Linked DNA regions of Xenopus tropicalis. The protein of the gene in region 2 purifies or fractionates together with the protein of the main gene of each other region. This does not show direct contact. Links are inferred from orthologs where the notes say so. Each region holds a gene or a part of one and is shown on either strand. Other genes may lie near its edges.

Region 1 (10,888 bases), on a different chromosome or scaffold from region 2:
AATGTAAGGGTTATTAAGCAGCTGCATGACTTTGGCTTCTTTGAGCAGCTCATCCTTCATTGACTCATCATTGCTGTCATTTTTGAGAATTTTGACAGCTACTGGTTTTTTAGATCTGTACAAAGGATAAGCATTTGTGTGTTTGTGATACAAATCATTAGCAAAAGTAAATGTTACATGAACCACTAACACTGGCAAAATGCCCAAACATATTGCACTATAATATTCAACATTGCAAGGTTTTTAGTTTTGTTTATGTCAGTAACATCTACTGAGTATTGCTGTCACTTACTTCTGAGATACTGCAGAGAAACTAGATTTGGAATTCTGGGAATGCAGACTATTAGTAAGCAACAAATCAGAGCTCTACAGAGTGTATTTTTTGGTACTTTGCAATGAGAGAGCATTCATTATCTGCTGTCTGCATCATTAATGCAATAATATAGTTAGTCAAAAAATAGATGATCTTTTCCCACACACAAACACACAAAACAAATGGATGCCTTACTTTGATGTCTTTAACTCTCCTTTCTTAACATTTCCAAAGTTGCCAGAGCCTAGCTCAGTTTCAAACAAAGTAAGCTGTTCCCGAGATATTTTGCCATCCATGGGTCTGAACTCATCTGGGTCTTCATATATTCCTCGATAGACATCAGTGTCCATAGGCATAGAATCCATTGTGACTTCTGAGGTGATCAAAGCAATTCAATTAAAGGAAGCTAAATTATATAAAGTGAATATATCCAGTGTCGGACTGGGAACCCAGGGGCCCACCAGAAAACCTTAGACCCTAGGACCACTTTCCAAACAGTTTTTCCTCCTTTCCTCACCCAACCTCTTTATTCTCCCAGTCCCTTTTATTTACATACTAGCATCTATTCTTCCATCTATTTCCCCTCTTTCTTCCTGTTCAGAAATAGGGAATGACCATGAAACAAGCCAAATGGTCAGGAGCAAGAGGGCCCACTGACACCTGGGCCCACTGGGAGTTTTCCTGGTATCCTGGTGGGCCAGTCCGACACTGAATATATCTTGTCAATTCACTTCACCCTATGAGGTTATCAGTTGTGAGAAGTTCCCTGAGACTAATACAGGCAAAGAGATAGCAAGACCAGAAATTCTTGACTTCCTAAGAATTAAAATTTAAATGAAATCAGGCAGTCAGGTCACCTAGTAAATCCAAAATTGAAAACTTAAGCACAGACCAACTAAACTGTTAACAAATTGTTTTAAAACTAACATGGATACATTTAAAAAGTACTTAAGACCACACCCCTTTGAATGTATGTCTTGTAACAGTGCTGTCTAACATCTGTGGTACCGAGGGACAGAATTTTTCTGGCCTACACAGCAGAGGGTGAAAAATGGAGGCCAGTTTTGACCACACCCACTTTAAACCACAGCCATGTTACCACTAAAGTTTTTAAGACCATACTCACATTAATGGTGGTAGTGCATCCATCACTCATATGTAAAATAAGTTTATTATGTCATATTAGGACATACCCTTAAGTTCATATGTCTCCTCCTCCCCTGTCGGTAGCACAGCAACCCCCCAGCACATAATTACATACCTTAGGGTTCCCCTAACAACTATTTACAAAGGCAAACAAACTCCCAGAAAAAACCCCTGCCAGGTTCACCACCAACAGGCAGCATAGGGCAGGCAGAGTATGGCACACAGGCAGCATAGGGCAAGCAGAGTATGGCACGCACAGACAGGGTAGGGCAGGCAGAGTATGGCACAAACAGACAGAGTAGGGCAGGCAGAGTATGGCACAAACAGGCAGCATAGGGCAGGCAGAGTATGACGCACAGGCAGCATAGGGCACGCAGAGTATGGCGCACACAAACAGCATAGGGCAGGCAGAGAATGGCACACACAGGCAGCACAGGGCAGGGCAGGCAGAGTATGGCACATACAGGCAGCATAGGGCAGACAGAGTATGGCACACACAGGCAGCATAGGGCAGGCAGAGTACAGCAGAACAGGCAGTGTAGGGAAGGAGACAGATAAACCTAGCATGATTACATAAGTAATTGATCATGAACAATCCAAGATAAACAGTTGTCGGCACTGCTCCTACAGGAGGTGTAAACAGGTGATCAATGCAGGTGCCTACAGTTTGCAGTCTTACAGGTCTGAACAATGCAGGACCTTACAGATGTGAACAATGCAGTTGATTACAGCCTGAATCTGAGATGTGAACAATGCCAGTTAATCTCAGTGTTGATACAATTTAAAGCTTAAACAGGCACACAAGTGGGGGGTCAAGGGCCAGATGTGGCCCGCAGACCACTAGTTGGACAGCAATGCCTTATAACAAAAAACTGCTAAATGCAAATGCCCTTACATTTAATTTTCTCTATGTACACAACAAAGGAAACCAAAAGAAAAAACTAGAGTGCGTGAAGTTTCAGCAATTAAAGCAGATAATTATGTTTTTAAGAACCAATGCCACCTATCAAGATCTGATAACAGAGTGTATACTGTATGTAACACTTTTGCAATACTGTAATACGTGCCCCCCACAAATGGGCTATATTCATCCATATTTTATGTGAATGTTGTATAATTTTGTATTACCATAATAGATATGACATGTATTTATACATGTCAAATACAAAACAAATGGATACAATATGAAAATTTTTTTCAGCTAAAAGTCACTTACAGGGAGGTGCCCATTCTGATATTTAGGTTTCTTTACTAGTGATGAGCGAATCTGTGCCATTTTGCTGAAAAATGTACAAAAGGTTTTTTTTTGATGTGTCTTTATTTTTTGACACACGCGGCTTTTTTTTGTTGCACAGCAAATTTTTGCGCCCGTTTCATGAAAGAATCCGCCAGTGGTGAAACGGACGTAAAAATTTGCTGTGCAACAAAAAAAGCTACGTGTGTCAAGAAATTTTTTGTGCCCGCTTCACCATTGGCGGATTTTTTCATGAAACAGGCGCAATAATTTGCAACAGAAAAAGTTTGCTGTGTGACAAAAAAATGACACACATCGAAAACACTTTGCTCATCACTATTCTTTAGAATATGCCTGGTGCAGCTTCAAATCTGACATTTTGTTGTAAATGTGTTAAATGAAACTTACCTGCATTTGGCCTATGTACATAAGTATTTATTGATGTAGAACTTCCGTGCCGCCTGGGAGCCCCTGCAGTACTCAGTGTCATCTAAATATGTAAAGAAAATAGATCTGTGTTAAATATGACCATAGTGTTTTTAAAAAGTTAAGTATAAATTAAATTATCATGGCAAGATGAAAATCAAGCTGTCTTTATAGAAAAAAATGTCAGTAGTGTGTATATAATAGCATGTTCCAAATGATCTTGTTTAACTTGCCATGACACCTATGCTCATTTTTGTTGTACTTACAACTTCAAATTACGATTCTTTACATACAAATTTGACAAAATACATTTTATTTTTTTTCTTTACAGTTCATTATGGCACATTGATAGTAAGGGTCATTCTCTAACACTGGTGCAAATGTACACTGCTGCAGTAACCAGTAACAATCAGACTTTTGCATTCATAATTGTAACTGCACTAAACAGACCAAAGCTGACTGGTTGCTATAGTTGCCGATTAGTTAAGGGCACTTGCATTGTTTTCATTTTCAAATAAGCCTTAGTGCACATTTGGTTCATAAACTATTTTACTATAAATACTATATAACTAACCAGTCACTTGGTCCACACATTGGGACATATTTACTAAAACTTGCCTAGTTATATTATAAATACATTGGCATAATTACACAACGTATTTTTGCCCCTGATAGTTCTGCACATTACATTTGCAGTGTTGCAGAAAAAAACTTTGTTGAAGATAGACAAGCTGTATTTTTGCATCTTAGTAAATATTACCCATTGTTTCCCTTGCAGGGAATTTGACACTCGCAAAAGAAAAAAAAACTGTAAATAAAAAGGAGCCAGTGTCCAACTGGCCAACCTGGGCACCAGCAAATTAGAAACCTTAGGACAAGAGACCACATTCCAATAGGTTTTTCTGCTGCTCTTCACTTACTTTTGTACCACACTGTCTTGTCAATACATTCTATGATTTCTGCCCTTAATTTATCTCTCCCTTCACCCCTTGGTCCCTTATTCCCCGTTCTAAACCCATCTGATATTTTTCTCCTATTTTCTTCTTTCCCTTAGGGTGTTGTCTACTACTTTATCATTCCTCTCTTCAATCTATTCTATTCTCTCTCATGCAGAAATGGCCATGGTACTAACATAGAGGCCAATTAGGTGGTTGAGTAGAAGGCCATTCTGGTTCCAAAGCTCACCACAAATGAAAATCTCTTTAATAAGAACCTGGATTCTATCTGTTAGTTAATCTGGGAAAAGCCCACTTCATTCTTTTTTTAGCACACATGGAGCTTTTGTTAAGCCAGACAAATACCAGAAAAAAAATATTATACATATCATTCTTATTTCTGGAATTTATAGACTAAAGAGCCCTCCCAACAATTAAAATCTTCCTTATATATTATGATTCTGTGGTGTCAATTATGTGGTAACATCTCTGTCACTGACCGCAATCACTGACACCACATCAATATACTGCACATATTTTATGACACATGATACATTTGTGATAATATACATGATTTCCCTTTTTTCCAAATTTTTTGATGTCAACTTGTTTTGTGTTATTTTCAAACCACACTAGGGGCCAAAAGCAGAGTGTTAAGAGCAGAGATGTCAAATGCGTGCCCTTCAAATGTCATTAACAACAAATCCCAGCATCTTCAGTAGGTCAGCTGGTAGTTGAGTCTATAGCAGGTGGAGGGCAGAAACCGACATCAATGGTTAATGTAATTTTAGCAGCTTACCACACAGTTAGTAATATTAAAGCAGCACTGCTGGCTCATAAATAAACAAACAAGATGTTTGTAGCAGTTTTCAAGCGGATGAAGAAGTGGCTAAATGAATGTGAAGGGAGAAATATATAATTTCTGCAACTGAATTATGTGTAGGCTGCAGTTAAAATGGCATAATATAATTATTTCATATTTTCTCTGGAAGTCCCCACCCAAAACCAATGATTAGGGGAAACAGTGACTTCAGATTTGTTTGGGTTCCCTTAACAACCATATTAAACATAATGGAACTCAGGACAGCGATGGCATCATGTTTACAAGCTTCTCAGAGAAAGCATTGGTGCATACAATGCCTAGAACAGCTGTTGGCTGCAGACATCTATAGTGTATGGCAGTTAGACTGCCTAAGGCACAAGCTATAATAAGCATGGGCATGATTCATACTGGCGGATGGACTTGTTCCCTCTATCTATTGTCCCCCATAGACAGTTCCATATTGGGAAGTGACTGCCAACAGTTCTTGGCATTTTGAGAACTGCAGTTTTTACTGTGAAGATGACAGCATTTCCCTTCAGAGGATAATTGTTATTTTAATTTTTAATTTTAAGAATGTAAAAATCTGAACTTAACCAACAACTACAAAACTACTGCATTACTGTCTTTAGTGAGGTGGGGCAGGGGCAATTGCCCTGGGCCTCATACATAGTAGGGCCTCATAAGCAGTGGTTTTAGGTAGGAAATACACCACGGTATAATTTATAGAAGAGAAGGTAGTGCAACACTGAATGTAATAGTAGGAACAATACATTCTGGGAAGAAACAGTGAGACTGTAGGACAGCAGATATAGTAAAGCAACATGGTGACAGTAACACTTATCAGTGTTATTTAGACTTCATTTGTTCTGAAATACAAAAGCAAGGACCCACTGACATCAGTCAAGTGATTCTGGGAAAAGTATTTCAGCAATGGATCCGGGGATTTAAGTTACACAGATATAGTCCTACGTCTTATAACGCTCCCACAAAAACTGCTCTGCCCTGGGCCCCCACCACTAAAGACAGCCTTGGCAGAACTAAATAATGCAGAAATCCGCAATGCTGCTTTAATGTAAATAAGCTGAGTCATTAATTTAGCGCCTGTCTATATTTTGGAAAGCCTTAGATAGTGTGTACAGAGCACCTTTTTGTTGCCAGGCTTGGGGAAGGAGTAGGATTTGAATCTCGAGATAATTCCACCTGCTGACCAACTCTAGAAACCACAATGGCAGAGAGGAACATTAAACATGCTGCCAGAAAAAAAACATTTTTTTTTTACAATTTGAAAATGAAAATTCTCTCTGGGGGGCAGTAATAACAAAACTGAAGTTAGGGTCACTGCCAACAATTTTCATGCATTATATGGCTTTGCATAAGATGTTTACTTTTTATCTAAACTTTCAAAACATACATTCTCTATTACTTTCAAAGAGTATAGTATTTTTATTCAAGTGCATTTACTGTCTCTCTGTCCAGCTTTCAGGTACTGTACATGTATTATCCAAGGTTCCACTGAATACAAAGTCACACAGCATTAAGCTGCTTGGTAATGCTCTTCCTTTCAACCCTGTCTTTTCCATTTGTTAACCCAACAGACCACAAGCACCCAGTCTATACCTTACAGTGTGGATTCTTTAAAATTAATGGAAATAAACACCCATGTGGATCAGATACACAGGGCTTGTATTGAAAATGTGATCCTTAGACAATTTTTTTTTATATGTAATGATTATCTTCACCTGTACTGAAAAAAACTATAAATTATTTCATTAACTAGGTGGCATGAATTATTGGCATAAGCCCTTTATGTTGAATGCTCCTCACACCCCCCCCCCCTTTAAATTATAAAGCTATAAATTATTTGGTTAAATAGGTGGCAAGCATTATTGGCATAAGCCCTTTATATTGAAATTATGTTGAATGCTCCTCACCATCCCACCACCCCCATTATAATCTGACATAGCCTGTGATTGGGCATTTGGATTACTTTCTGGCACCTACATTAGATTTATGGTTAAAGCAAAGTTTGCCTTGATGGCATCTTTCTCAAAATAGCATCTGCCTTCTTACTGCTAATGAAGGAAACATAGGTTTGACTAATTTGCTTCGTATAATGAAACTTTTAGCATTCTAGTAGTTGCAATACACAAGTCTATAGTACTTGGATGGCACTTACCAGCAGAGAATGGCCTTTGTGATGTTGTAATGAACAAATTGATGTTATGCATGCATTACTTACCATTTGATGTTGGGTAGGAGGTGCTGGACATGGTGCACGTTTAAATATAAAGCTTTCTATAACAGAATGAAGACATTTAATTAGATTTCATGGACTATTCTACATAGTTAAAGCAAAAAAAAAAAAAAATGAACAAATAGACTGTGTTACAAACCTGTGCTCAAATTGGGGAAAAAGGATATATAAGCATTTTTTTTTAAATTTGGTTATTTGTTATATGATTATTGCAAAATGCCTATGCTGCTCCAATAGCTTTAACATAATGATGTAAAATATGTGTAATTCTAATTTCATTGTATTCTGTGGTGAAAGGTTGATTGCACTGGGTTGTGATCCCCACCATCTCATGCCCTCATTTCTAAACATCTATAGAATTAGAGGCAGCAAATCATATTTGATCTCAAGAAGAAAATAGAGTTTGCTACTAAATGTCATCATATAAAATCCATATATACCATATTGCAGATATAAGTGGCTCCACTATGCCTGAATATTTCTGTTTGCTAATGTCAGAGAAAAGTCCAGATTCCAAAGTGGAGAGCTGCTGAACAGCAACATAATAGCAGGAATGCCTTGTGCAGGGCTCTCCAACTGTAATCTTTATCTCCTGGTAACGCTGGGAGTTGTAATTTAGGGACAATCTGACATTCACTAGCCGGACAATACTGCTTTATAGAGATACATGGACATCTTTTCAAGATCATAATCAGCAAAATCTGTTTTTCCTAGAGCCAGATTTGTAGTAGGAGTTAAAGCTGACAAACCTTTTGGCTTCATCTACGAAAATACAGTTCATTTTGAGAAGTCTGTGACAATTTGTCCTGCTCATTTTTCTTGCTGCTTTGATCATTCTTAATTAGGCGTTATAAAAAGACCAGAGAGATAGAAACATGTGCATAGCTATGTAAAATCAGATCATGAGTGTCAGGCTTAAGGTGCTATACATAGAATCCTTGTACTCCATTAGTATAGAGCTGTTGGAGAACATTACTGAATTCTGTAGGCCAGAGGTTTTAACATCACCCCCTGTTTTATCCAAAATTGAGTCATTATTCACATTGCCTTATAAAAGCTACAAATATATGAAAATGTAGTTTTGTAATAAAAGAATTTGCCTCTATCTATGTACAATGACACATAAATATATGCTTCTAATGAAACTACTTACCAGACCACTGACAACGCAGAAAAAGACATGAAATACATTTAAGACATGAAATAGAAGTACAGGTATCGGACCCCTTATCCAGAAACCCATTATCCAGAAAGTTCCGAATTACGGAAAGGCCATCTCCCATAGACTCCATTTTTATGAAATAATTCACATTTTTAAAAATGGTTTCCTTTTTCTCTGTTATAATAACCTTGTACTTGATCCCAACTAAGATATAATTAATCCTTATTGGAACCAAAACAATCCTATTGGATCTAATTCCCATTTAAATAATTTTTTTTAGTAGACTTAAGGTAGGAGATGTGAATTACGGACGGACCCCTATCCGGAATACCCCAGGTCCCGAGCATTCTGGACAACGGATCCCTTACCTGTACTTAATATTTAAATCAATGGAGTATTCAAATAGCATTGATAAAGACCAATAACCATGGTAATGTAATCAATTAAAATATCTAGTAGGTAAGAGGAATGCATTCATCTATGTATCTGTCTGTCTGTCTATCTACCCAAAATATTTCTGCTTATAAAAACAGAGTATATTATAAAGCGCTAGAGGTGTGGGATTAATAAATTGCTGGTAATTTATTTATGGGGTTTGGGGGATCTATGCACAATGACACATAAAAGAAAACACATTTCTAGTAAAACTTCTTACCAGACCCCTGATAATGCAGAAAAAGACAAGAAATAACTTATAAGAAGGGAAAAAGAAGCACTTATTACTTAAATCAATAGAGTATTCAAATAGCATTCAAATAACAATCCTAATTGAATTATTAAAAATATATAGGAGATAAGAGGAATGCATCTATAATAATAATATTATATCTATCTATCTATTTATCAAAAGTGCTCCTAGAATACAGAGTATATTAGAAAGTGCTAACCACTGTGTCCAGTTGCTCGGGGGCATGGTTCTGTAAGAACCCGCAGAAGTCCATCAGGTTTGTAGGAATAATGTTCAACCAGCTGCAATACAAACAGGGGAAAGCAATTGTTACTGAATTATGTAGAAGTTTAAATTATACAGTAAACTACTGTGCTTAAAGGACACATAAAGCTTAATAAAGAGTTGTTCTTATATTAAATGCCAAACAAATTTATTTTTTAATTCACACCTTGGTTAGGCAATTTTGTAATCCCAGCAACCAAATGCTAGAGAGAGGCTTGTTAGAAAAATTACATAAGGTACATAATATTAGTAATAGGTGAGAAAAGCGTTAGTGAGAAAAATTAGATAAAAAATCATATAAAACTAAACTTTATATCTAAAGATGTCCACTAGAAGGCGCTCCAGGTAAGACTAATAAAACAACTTCCTAAAACGCATGACAAACATGTCAAATAAAGAAGTATTTGTAAAGTGTAAATCTATTTTAATAGTAACCCTTCACAAGGCTGGCACAAACAGGCTTGCTTTTATATTGTATGGGTACCCAAATATGATCTGATATGCTATTTACTATATTTAAACAGGTTCTACCAACTGTAACATTTTGTCTGATGGTTTATAAAAGCATATTTCATCTGTGCTACACACTAATTCACCCTCCCCATCGGCATTATGTTGTTACTTGATGCAGTGGCAGCTTTAGCTTTCTCCTCCAGAATTAGGCATGACACAACCAGCCTTCTAGCTGTGGGAAATAATATGGGCATAGACATGGATGGCAAATATTCTTAAGAAATGGATAGCTAAGGGCCATTACCTCTCTAAAGCAGACAGGTGCGGCAGGCCAGAAATAAGTGAAGTAAGTAGCCTGCAGTATAGCGGCCTGGTGTAGTTACAGAGTGACTGAACTGGGGATGCACAGAATCTGGATTTGGCTGATTGTTTGTGTTTTTTTGCAGAATTCAGAGTCAGCTGAAGCCGAAGGGTTTAGTGAAACCATATCAGACCCCCAGCTCTGGACAACTGAGCTGACAATGTTTTGTTCAAATTCAGTGCAATGTTTCTATTTCTCTCAAAATAGGATATGCAAATGTTCTCATCTTTTGCAGAGTATTCTATATCTGGCTAAATGCAAACATGATGGATATGGTGAATACATAGACTAAACCAGCAACTGTAGTAACTAATCATGCATGCATGTGATAAGAGGTGTATATTGTGCTAAATTGTTAGCCGTGGATTGTCTCCTAGCCACCTAAATATTGTTTTGTTTCTACAGGACTCTCTGCTACATGGCTTGGAAACAATAGTCCCACAGATGTATGGCTAGAACAATAATTCTTTATCTGACAGGGTAATGTATTTATTTACCTGCCAGTATTAACTGCCAGCTGGCATATATTGTTGTACGAGTATGTTGAAAGGGTTGTTCACCTTTACATTAACTTTTGGTATGATGCAAAGAGTGCTATTCTGAGACAATTTGAATTGGTCTTCATTTTTTATTGTGGGTTTTGAATCATTTAGCTTTTTGTTGAGCAGCTCTCCAGTTTGCTATTTCACATGCTATCTGGTTGCTAGGGGCCAATTTAAAGGAACAGTTCAGTGTAAAAATGAAACTGGGTAAAATGGATAGACTGCACAAAATTAAAAACATTTGTTTTACAGTTAGTTAGGCAAAAATGTAATCTATAAAGGCTGGA
Region 2 (10,988 bases):
AAGGAGTATGGCACAACTGTAAACCTACCGAGACAAGGCCGTCCACCTAAACTCACAGGCCGAACAAGGAGAGCACTGATCAGAAATGCAGCCAAGAGGCCCATGGTGACTCTGGGGGAGCTGCAGAGATCTACAGCTCAGGTGGGGGAATCTGTCCATAGGACAACTATTAGTCGTGCACTGCACAAAGTTGGCCTTTATGGAAGAGTGGCAAGAAGAAAGCCATTGTTAACAGAAAACCATAAGAAGTCCCGTTTGCAGTTTGCCACAAGCCATGTGGGGGACACAGCAAACATGTGGAAGAAGGTGCTCTGGTCAGATGAGACCAAAATGGAACTTTTTGGCCAAAATGCAAAACGCTATGTGTGGCGGAAAACTAACACTGCACATCACTCTGAACACACCATCCCCACTGTCACATATGGTGGTGGCAGCATCATGCTCTGGGGGGGGGGGCTTCTCTTCAGCAGGGACAGGGAAGCTGCTCAGAGTTGATGGGAAGATGGATGGAGCCAAATACAGGGCAATCTTGGGAGAAAACCTCTTGGAGTCTGCAAAAGACTTGAGACTGGGGCGGAGGTTCACCTTCCAGCAGGACAACGACCCTAAACATAAAGCCAGGGCAACAATGGAATGGTTTAAAACAAAACATATCCATGTGTTAGAATGGCCCAGTCACAGTCCAGATCTAAATCCAATGGAGAATCTGTGGCAAGATCTGAAAACTGCTGTTCCCAAACGCTGTCCATCTAATCTGACTGAGCTGGAGTTGTTTTGCAAAGAAGAATGGGCAAGGATTTCAGTCTGTAGATGTGCAAAGCTGGTAGAGACATACCCTAAAAGCCTGGCAGCTGTAATTGCAGCAAAAGGTGGTTCTACAAAGTATTGACTCAGGGGGCTGAATAATTACGCACACCCCACTTTGCAGTTATTTGTAAAAAATGTTTGGAATCATGTATGATTTTCGTTCCACTTCTCACGTGTACACCACTTTGTATTGGTCTTTCACGTGGAATTCCAATAAAATTGATTCATGTTTGTGGCTGTAATGTGACAAAATGTGGAAACGTTCAAGGGGGCCGAATACTTTTGCAAGCCACTGTACAAGGTACTGTTTTATTATTACAAAGAAAAAGGAAACCATTTTTAAAAATGTGAATTATTTGATTACAATGGAGTCTATGGGAGATGGCCTTTCTGTAATTCTGAACTTTCTGGATAAGGGGTCCAATACCTGTATATTTTTTTTATATATGAAACTGGGGAGGTGACTGTATTGCACCCCCCATCCCCCAAGATCACGGTCCTGGGGCAGCCACCGGAATCTATTATAATCCATCACTAAATACTCCTTACCCTACAGATGGATAATGAGATTTAGGAATTTGGCCACCCGTCTGTGCCCAAACAGTGCATACATCCAACCTGATTGTAAATGTTAAACTCTATGTGGGATGTAATCATTCAAATCATTTAATCCATACAGAAAAGCTGTCATGATTTTCTAAACTTTTCATAAATACACATTTGCAGCGCTTGTAGATTTCAGGTGGTTTATCTTGTGATGTGTGTAGTGCTAACATTACAACAAGTTAACCCCACAAAATGAGTTCATAAAAACCTTTCCTTATTGTAAAATTTGCGATATTATCAAGGAACCTTTTAAAAAACACACACAAACCTATTATATATATATACTGGCATTTCAGAGTTACAATGCAGCATGGAATATTGAGCACAATTCACAAAATTGATGTAAATATTACTCCTGTGCAGTAACCCTGAGCAGCCAGCCAATCAGAAGTTTGCTATAACAGTCTTTAACATTACATTAGAGGGGATTATAGGCAGATGGGGGATTTTATTTTTCCCATAAAAACGATCAGCACACCAGAGGCCCCCCCTTTAGATTAGAGGAACGGAGCTTCCATTTGAAGCAGGTTTTTCACGGTGAGGGCAGTGAGGTTGGGGAATATAGAGAGGCAAACCTGTATGGCTTATGGGAAGTAGGTTAACTGGTTCTACCTATTAAAAAGGTGAAGTGGGTGCTGAAAACATTGCAGAGCATATCCCAATTTCCCAGCATGCTGCTCACTCTTATTAAGAGAAAAAGGATGGTAGAGGGAGGTAGGTAAATAGTTCAGATTGGGGCTTAAGAAAGTTTAGAAAAAATGTTTTTGGGGCCCTGAGGGTTAAAGGAACAGTAACACCAAAAAATTAAAGAGTTTTAAAGTAAAAGAAATATAATGTACTGTTGCCCTGCACTGGTAAAAGTTGTGTGTTTGCTACAGTAACACTACTTATATTATTATGGCACTTATATTGTAGTGTCACCCACTGTGACCTACAGCACTTACATTTGCCCATTTGTGTCTGTTAGTTACCCCTCCCATATAGATTGTAAGCTCTACGGGGCAGGGACCTTGTTCATCTTGTTTCTGACTCTTATTGCAACTGTACCTTGTATTTATTTGTATTTATTGTTGTACTTTGTATTTATCCATTATCTTTAACCCCCTGTTTGTATTAATGTATTCTACTGTACAGCGCTGCGTACATAAGTAGCGCTTTATAAATAAAGATATACATACATACATACATACATACTATAATTTATATAAATAAGCTGCTGTGTAGCCATGGGGGCAGCCATTCAAGCTGGAAAAAAGGAGAAAAGGCACAGGTTACATAGCAGATAACAGATAAGCTCTGTAGAATACAATAGTGTTTTATCTGTTATCTGCTAAGTGCCTGTGCCTTTTCTCCTTTGAATGGCTGCCCCCATGGCTACACAGCGGCATTCTTTATATAAATTATAGTAGTGTTTCTGAGGCAAACACTCCAGTTGCACCAGTGCAGGGCAACAGTACATTATACTGGAATTTCTTTTATACACTTTTTTTGGTGTTACTGTTCCTTTAAGGTTATCAGATCAAGTGATAAAATGACTAGAATGGGTTTCCAATCAGTGCCCTGCAGTACATCACATGCCAATGCACCACAGGAGAAACGCAAATAGGAATATTTACCTATTTTGCACAGATACAAGCAGAGGATGGTGCTTAGGGCTAATGGAGTTTCTGATCTGTTCAGAAGGGGAATCTGCTCAAACAAATTTGTGAAGTATTTGTTGATTTCTGAAATTAATTTTTGTAGACAAGACCTACATCCATTATTATTATTATTATTATTAACATTTATTTATAAAGCGCCAACATATTCCGCAGATCCTAAGCAATGATATGAAACCTGTGACCATCCCAGATGTTGCTGAACTACAACCAGAGTATGGGCTATGGGAATACACCCTTTAATTCCAATACAGCATTATAAAGAAGAAATTCAGTGCTTACTAACTTGCCCTTTAAATAGGTGCAACTAGTAAAGAAACAGCAGAGGGAGTTCTTTTCCCTTGCCCCCTGCAATCTCTGCAGCCTCACAGATCTGTTTGTTCAGACACATGGCTGTTGTCTATTTATTATGCATTTATAATGCTGGATATACTGGCTATACACACACAGTCAGTGCTATGGAGCAACAGACACGCATGTTTGTGATGTTTCTACTACTAAGGGTTCGTACTAATACTGAACCCTTAAATTCATGTAACTTTACGGTTTTAAAAAACTGAATTTAACATTTTGCAACCATTAATGCAATGACTTTTAGAATCTGAGTACAGGTATGGGATCCCTTATCCGGAAACCAGTTATCCAGAAAATTCCGAATTAGGGAAAGCCCATCTCCCATAGACACCAATATAAGCAAATAATTTTAATTTTATAAACTGATTCCCTTTTCTCTGTAAAAATAAAACAGTACCTTGTACTTGATCCCAACTAAGATATAATTACCCCTTATTGGGGGCAGAACAGCCCTATTGGGTTTATTTAATGGTTAAATGATCCCCTTTTCTCTGTAATAATAAAACAGTACCTGTACTTTATCCCAACTAAGATATAATTACCCCTTATTGGGGCAGAACAGCCCTATTGGGTTTATTTAATGGTTAAATGATTCCCTTTTCTCTGTAATAATAAAACAGTACCTGTACTTGATCCCAACTAAGATATAATTACCCCTTATTGGGGGCAGAACAGCCCTATTGGGTTTATTTAATGGTTAAATGATTCCTTTTTCTCTGTAATAATAAAACAGTACCTGTACTTGATCCCAACTAAGATATAATTACCCCTTATTGGGGGCAGAACAGCCCTATTGGGTTTATTTCATGGTTAAATGATTCCCTTTTCTCTGTAATAATAAAACAGTACCTGTACTTGATCCCAACTAAGATATAATTACCCCTTATTGGGGGCAGAACAGCCCTATTGGGTTTATTTCATGGTTAAATGATTCCCTTTTCTCTGTAATAATAAAACAGTACCTGTACTTGATCCAAACTAAGATATAATTAATCCTTATTGGAGGCAAAACAATCCTGGGTTTAATCAATATTTAAATGATTTTTAGAAGATTTAAGTTATGGAGATCCAAATTACGGAAAGATCCCTTATCTGGAAAACCCCAGGTCCTGAGCATTCTGGATAACAGGTCTCATACCTGTATACTGTTAAGAGTTCAGATTTGATTCAGGATGTGGAAATATCTTGTGTGGCGAATTAGTTACTTAACTAAACCCAAAAAATGTTGGGTTTGGTGCATCTCTACTTATTTTGCAATATGCATTGAGTTAAAAGTAAATATTGAAAATAAAATTATTTAAAAGTTAGGCTGCCTGTATCAGCTTATTAATGTTAAGTGCTGAAATGATGCATTCAGGTCATTGCTGCCGTACAAGAAGCATCCCCCATTTAAAGGGATGATGATTGGGGTTAGCCTGACTAATAATTAACCATGAGCAGTTTAGTTTGCCTTTGCCACATTGTGAATTGTTATCCAGTGAAAGTTTTAATTGATTTCACTTTGGCCTGAATGTTTGCGCCCATACAAACTGATATCAATTGCTGATCAAGTATCTAGCATTCTTGGGTTGCCGTGATGAAATACATTAAAATCGAATGTCCGTGGGTTCAAACTACACAGATTTCCGCTCAGCCCATTCACATTTCCATTCACATCCTTATTTATGAGTATTTGTGCATTATGCAGTTACATTTTTTCCAAGTAAAAGAATGAGAGGAGGAAATAACAAGATGGAGGCACATTGCAATATCTTGCGGCGCTTCTGTACACCCCCAAGCATGCTGGAAGTTATGGTTTAGTAACAGTTATTCATGAGTCGGACACCATTGCCTTATATGCAATGAGCTTGAATAAACAACCCCCAGGTACACAAGGAAGCTGAGAATATTTCAAGGTGACTTTTTTGTTACTTGTAAAATCAGAAATTTGGGGTGTAAGCCAGTGTTTCCCTCTCAGGGATAGTTCTGCTCCTTCACTGTAAACAAGAGAAAGCCCCTCACCTGAACTTGTGCCCAGCTGGAGCTGAGAGCTTATTGAATGTGTCCATGTTCCACAGGTGAGCCAGGGTCCCTGCTTGCCAGCTCCTTGTGGTGCCAGTCGCTCACAGCCTGTGAAATCCCCGCTGTCTCTGTCAGATTTCCCCTGAGTAGTGTGTGTTGGCACATAGTCATTTCGTTTGAGAAGTAAAACTTGCCTGATTACATATTCAGGTTTCGAGTTTCCTTCTCGTCACATGACCCACTCCCTGCCCATCTGGCTCCTGAATAGGCTTTTAGCAAACATTTCTCAGCTTCTACCTGTTTGGGAGTCACAACTAGCGCTGCTTTCTTCCTGCTGCTGTATGGGTTATGGGTTGCTGCTGGAATTTCCACTGAACTTTAACAATATCTCACAGTATTTGAAGATTCCAACTGCCAGCTGTCAGCTCAACTACATGTTTTCTCTCTGTGTCATCTGTGAGAGAACACTCCTGACATATGATATAGAGATTGATATTCTGAAATAATTTGCAGTTGGTCTTAATTTTTACATTTTATTTTTGTGAGGCTTTCCAGTTATTTAGCTTTTTTTTCAGCAGCTGTCCACTATCTGGTTGCTAGGGTCTTATTAACCATAGCCACCAGTCAGTGGTTTGAATAATGTGAATAGGCAAGGGAATGAATAGGAAGATAAGTAATAAAAAGTAACAATACTATTGTAGCCTCATAGGGCAATTGTTTTTTTGACTGTGGGATCAGTGATCCTCATTTGAAAACTGGAAAAGGTGTAGAAGGAAGGCAAATTATTTAAAATCTATTAGAAATAAATAATGAAGACCAACTGCAAAATTGCTAGGGCATTCTATAACATACTTAAGGCTGATGCCACACGTGGCGTTTTTACGCTGCGTTTTTTCTCAGCCTCAAAACGCCACACAAGCCACACAGCCCCTGACTATGGCGTTTTTCAGCCTAGTACTGGTGACGTAGCAAATCCCGTTTCCATGGTGCTAATAGTGCAAAATAGTAAAAAATGCCGCGTATTTCTGCTAGGTCTGGCAGCTGCCTTTGTGTATACATAGGAATAGCTTGCTGTGCAAATACTGGCATATTTCAGCCAACGCTTGAAAAATCCGTGCTAAGGCTTTTTCTAGCGTATTTCCGCATTGTGTGGTTTGGTTCGAGTCTTTTCAAGTTATTTCTATGGATGATGATATCGGGCGTTTTTCAGCCGCTGAGAAAATTTGAAAATACGCAGTGTAAAAACGCCTCGTGTGGCATCAGCCTAAAGGTGAACCACCCCTTTAAGGTGATAATGATTTTTTTAGGGCACTTATACACTGTGCATTTAATGATTGATTCCATTATATTCTGTTTGTACCCTGAGTTGACTTTTATTGCATTCATGTTTCATTTCAGTTTTTTTAAGCACAAAACCCTAAATTTTTTGCATTCAACAGAAAATAGAATAGAGGGTTGCATTTAGTAACTCACAAAAATGCACTTGATTGCATGTATGAAAATGCAATATTTGTGTTTTTAGACAGCCAGCATGGGATTTAAAAGGCATTATAATTGCCTCTGTGCTCAAGCCCTGAAAACCAAATTCCTATTCACTCCAGACAGTAACCAGAAATTGCACCACTTTATATTGTAGTTATTCTTGCTATCATTTGTGCCACCTCCTCTTATAAATTTTGCTCCTCTGTTGCCTGGTACATGGAACTACTGCCTCCAATAGTCACTCGCCCCTGCAATGTAAAAGCCAGCAAATGTGGAATATCCTTAAGTTCAGCCCCTGTCCTGCCCCCTAAAGCCCCTGATCCACCCAGAATCTAGTGGAAACCTACTCTTTTTCTCTTCCCTGATCCTCCTGGCATCACCCGTGACATCATAGCTTTTCATCATCAACCCGCCTCCTTTGTCACCACCCCGCACTGGCCGGTAACTTTCTTGTAAAAAGATGGCAACTGCAACTGTATATATTTATATGTCTTTTAGCCATGTGTAGCTGTAGTGGTTTTTATCACAGCCCTGCACAGTGCATTACACATAAGGGTAACCAGAATAAAGGGGAGGGAATACTCCTAATATGAAGTTGAAGTTGAACTGAAGAAGCTGCTCGGATGAGTAGTGAAACGTATTGAATGATTACCAAACAAGTCCAGTTGCTTTAAATTTATTTATATTAGATATACCATGACCTGAATGAATGAAAATCTTCATAGACAATACTCCTAATATTGAGATATACAGATTTCCTGTTTTCTAAAGAATTTTTGGTTAATACTGATCTGTAAATTCCCCCTGTATACAATGCATTGTGCAATGACAGAAAGCAGGCCAGTGTACAGATTAGTCATTATTCTGTATAGTAACCATGTTTGCTTATTGCTTTGCTAATAAGGAAATAACAGCCCATTGGATGCAGAGGGGGGAAAACAATGTAACACTTTTTGTCTGAAATGTAAAAATGGCCGCCCACTTTGAGTCCACTGGGAGCGACATCAAAGGGGTTAGTAACATGTTGCTCCAAACCCTGATTGGGGATCACTGGTATAGAACTATGCAGATATTAAACAGTTTGTATATGCTGAGATCCAGCTGCAAAACAGTTCTTCTCTTTCTGCATCATTTGAAATCCTGGCAGGGGAGGAGGGACTAAAACATTGATGTTATAAATTGTAAAAACTTCTCCAGAGCTTACAGAGAGCATGCAGGAACTACTTAACCCACAATGCATTGCACTGTGATGTTCTTTTCCTTATTGACATCACAGGTGCAGGGAATTGTGGGATATGGAGGATGCAGGCTGAAGGCAGGCTGAAGACAGTCGGCTACTGTTACATTTTATTTGAGTCTCAAAGTAGCCAGCCAGATCAGCAGGGGATAGGGGGTGGGGCTTAGGGAACTGTTCCAAACCATGATGCCATTTTTTATTTGTCTCAAATTTTTAATATGCAAATTAGGGTTCAGATTCAGTTTGGAATTTAGAAACATCTTCTGTGGAGGATTCAGTATTTAGTCAAATGCAAAAAAAATTAAAAATATGGAATGAATGCATTGGTGTAAACAGGCACACATTATGGGGTGAATGCCACAAAATTCTTCATCACATACCCTAGTGGTCATGTTTTGTCATATTAAAAATTAAAGGCCTGGATGGTCCAAAGAGTTATTGTGATAATGCAGAGAAGTCAGACCGGGGGGGTACAGTTTTTGCTGTGTCTCGTATTGTCTGGAAGTGACATCATTTTGCATGACTACTGCTGGAAGTGATGTCACTGCGCCAGCTCCTTCTGATGTCACTGAATGCTTACGTCATAGATACGCATACAGTCTCCAGGTGAAATCTGTAAAGGTGACATGTCTGACAATGTGCATGTACAGCAATAAAGGCTTTATTTTACATTAGAACTGACTGTGACTTCTGCTGATTGCTTCATTCCTCAAAACATCCTCTTATTGTGGGTGTAATTGCAAAGGAACAATATATTTAGAAAGAGAAAGAAGAGTCTAAGGATGATTCACTGAGCCGTCTTGTGCAATACTTGTTTTCTTATGATGCCATAAAGCTTGGCGGGGCTTTATATCATCTCAAACCTGGTGCATGTGCCTCTCCAGTAGCCAAGGGGTAATTATTTATCTTACAGATCTTTACAAACTGCCTGCATCTTTTATATTTAGCGTTACCCCTTTTATATTTAGCATTACCCCTTTTATATTTAGCGTTACCCCTTTTATATTTAGCGTTACCCCTTTTATATTTAGCGTTACCCCTTTTATATTTAGCGTTACCCCTTTTATATTTAGCGTTACCCCTTTTATATTTAGCGTTACCCCTTTTATATTTAGCGTTACCCGGGAGCTAAAATCCTACGTATTGATCATACAGTCAGTGTGCCAAGTGCAAGGTAGTATATGCGAGTTTGTCAGATTTCGTTTATTTATATTATATTTTCTTTTTAATTCTCAGTCCTCCGCTGACAAGCTGGAAACCAAACTGAATCCAGACTGCACTATGCATATTAAATTTGAGGATAATAATATAAAAAACAGCATTATATAAAGTTGAGTGCTTTATAGTCGCATGACTGCAGTTTGGCATAGGAAGGGCAGGGGTCTGGATTTTGCTGTGCTGAGATTCATCTAAATCAGGGCTCCCCAACCTTTCTTACTCGTGAGCCACAATCAAATGTAAAAAAACCTGGGGAGCAACACAAGCACCATAAAAGTTCATGGAGGAGCCAAATAAGGGCTAAGATTGGCTATTAGGCAGCCTCTATGCACACTATCAGCTTACAGGGGGCTTTATTTGGTAGGAAATCTTGTTTTTATTCAACCAAAACTTGCCCCCAAGTCAGGAATTCAAATATAACTCCCTGGTTTGGGGGCACTGAGAGCAACATCCAAGGGGTTGGGGAGCAAGATGTTGCCCCCGACCCACTGGTTGGGGATCACTGATCTAAATTCTGGACCACATCCTAGATTCAGTTCATTTGTAGTCATAGGGGCAGATTTACTAATCCACAAATTCGAATCCCGAATGGGAAAAATTCGAATTGGAAACGAAAAATTCCTAAGATCGCAAATATCCCGAAAATGCTTACGAAAAAATCGTATTAGTCACGATGATATCGTATTGGCTATCCGAAAGTCAAGAAATTTTCGGACCGAACCATTGAAAACAGCGGTAAAACCTTTTTCCGATTTTTTTGTGCAAGTGTGCGAAAAAGTCGTGCGGCATACAAAAAAGTTGTGCGGACGCCCAAAAAAATTTGTCGAAAATACGCTCGGAGCGTTCATGCTGTCGTAAATGTGCCCTTTAGAATATTTCACTCTCATTCTTAAATCAGCCACAGTCATCTCCAAGCACCAGTGTGGTAAAAGTAGTAAAAGAGCCATTCCAACAGTCATTTGCGTATCAGGAGATGGTTCCTCCCATATAAGTGTTACATATGCCACTCATCAAATGGGGGTCACTGACCCCAGCAGCCAAAAAAACCATTGCTCTGTAAGGCTACAGATTTATTCTCACTTTGTATTACTTATCTTTCTATTTAGGCCCTCCTCTATTAGTATTCCTGGCTCTGTTTCAAATCACTGCCTGGTTGTCAGGTTAAATTGGACCCTAGGAGCCAGATAGCTGCTGAAATCCCAAATGAAGACCAATTGCAAATTGTCTCAGAATAGCACCCCCTACCTCATACTAAAAGTTGAACAACCACTTTAACACAATATTTCTCATTGTGACTATTAAAGGGTTGGTTAATCCTGCTACAGGTTGATTCTTGACCCTATATATTTGCAGATGGGGGTCACCTGATAAGCAGGTTCTAGGTGACCAAATCATGTCATGTGAAGCATGTGGAGCTGAGCAATGGTTTCCTAAATTGTTCAAAGCTCAGCAATTTGGACAACCTGATTGGTCTGTATCCAATATATGTCTTTTTTTGCAGTCAAACTGCAAAATCCTAAGAAACATTTGGCTCTTAAAACTTGGCACCAGTTGCATCAAATCCAGTTCAATGCACATTACTCATAATCACATGAATCGGCCGCTTTACTTTTATTAACAGAAGC

Evidence for each region.
Region 1: the proteins of blnk (region 2) and syk purify together in Homo sapiens (affinity purification with western blotting; 3 studies listed by BioGRID and IntAct, with this or other methods). This does not show direct contact. The link is inferred for Xenopus tropicalis from reciprocal best matches to the Homo sapiens genes BLNK and SYK.

The regions. Positions count from the first base shown.
Region 1 is NC_030677.2:138,461,743-138,472,630, reverse strand, and holds part of syk (tyrosine-protein kinase SYK), read right to left. Parts: intron 9,263-10,888; coding exon 9,181-9,262; intron 7,173-9,180; coding exon 7,117-7,172; intron 6,091-7,116; coding exon 6,022-6,090; intron 3,184-6,021; coding exon 3,102-3,183; intron 687-3,101; coding exon 509-686; intron 116-508; coding exon 1-115. UniProt on the Homo sapiens protein: Non-receptor tyrosine kinase which mediates signal transduction downstream of a variety of transmembrane receptors including classical immunoreceptors like the B-cell receptor (BCR).
Region 2 is NC_030683.2:26,110,151-26,121,138, forward strand, and holds the start of blnk (B-cell linker protein), read right to left. Parts: upstream 5,568-10,988; 5' UTR 5,474-5,567; coding exon 5,427-5,473; intron 1-5,426. UniProt on the Homo sapiens protein: Functions as a central linker protein, downstream of the B-cell receptor (BCR), bridging the SYK kinase to a multitude of signaling pathways and regulating biological outcomes of B-cell function and development.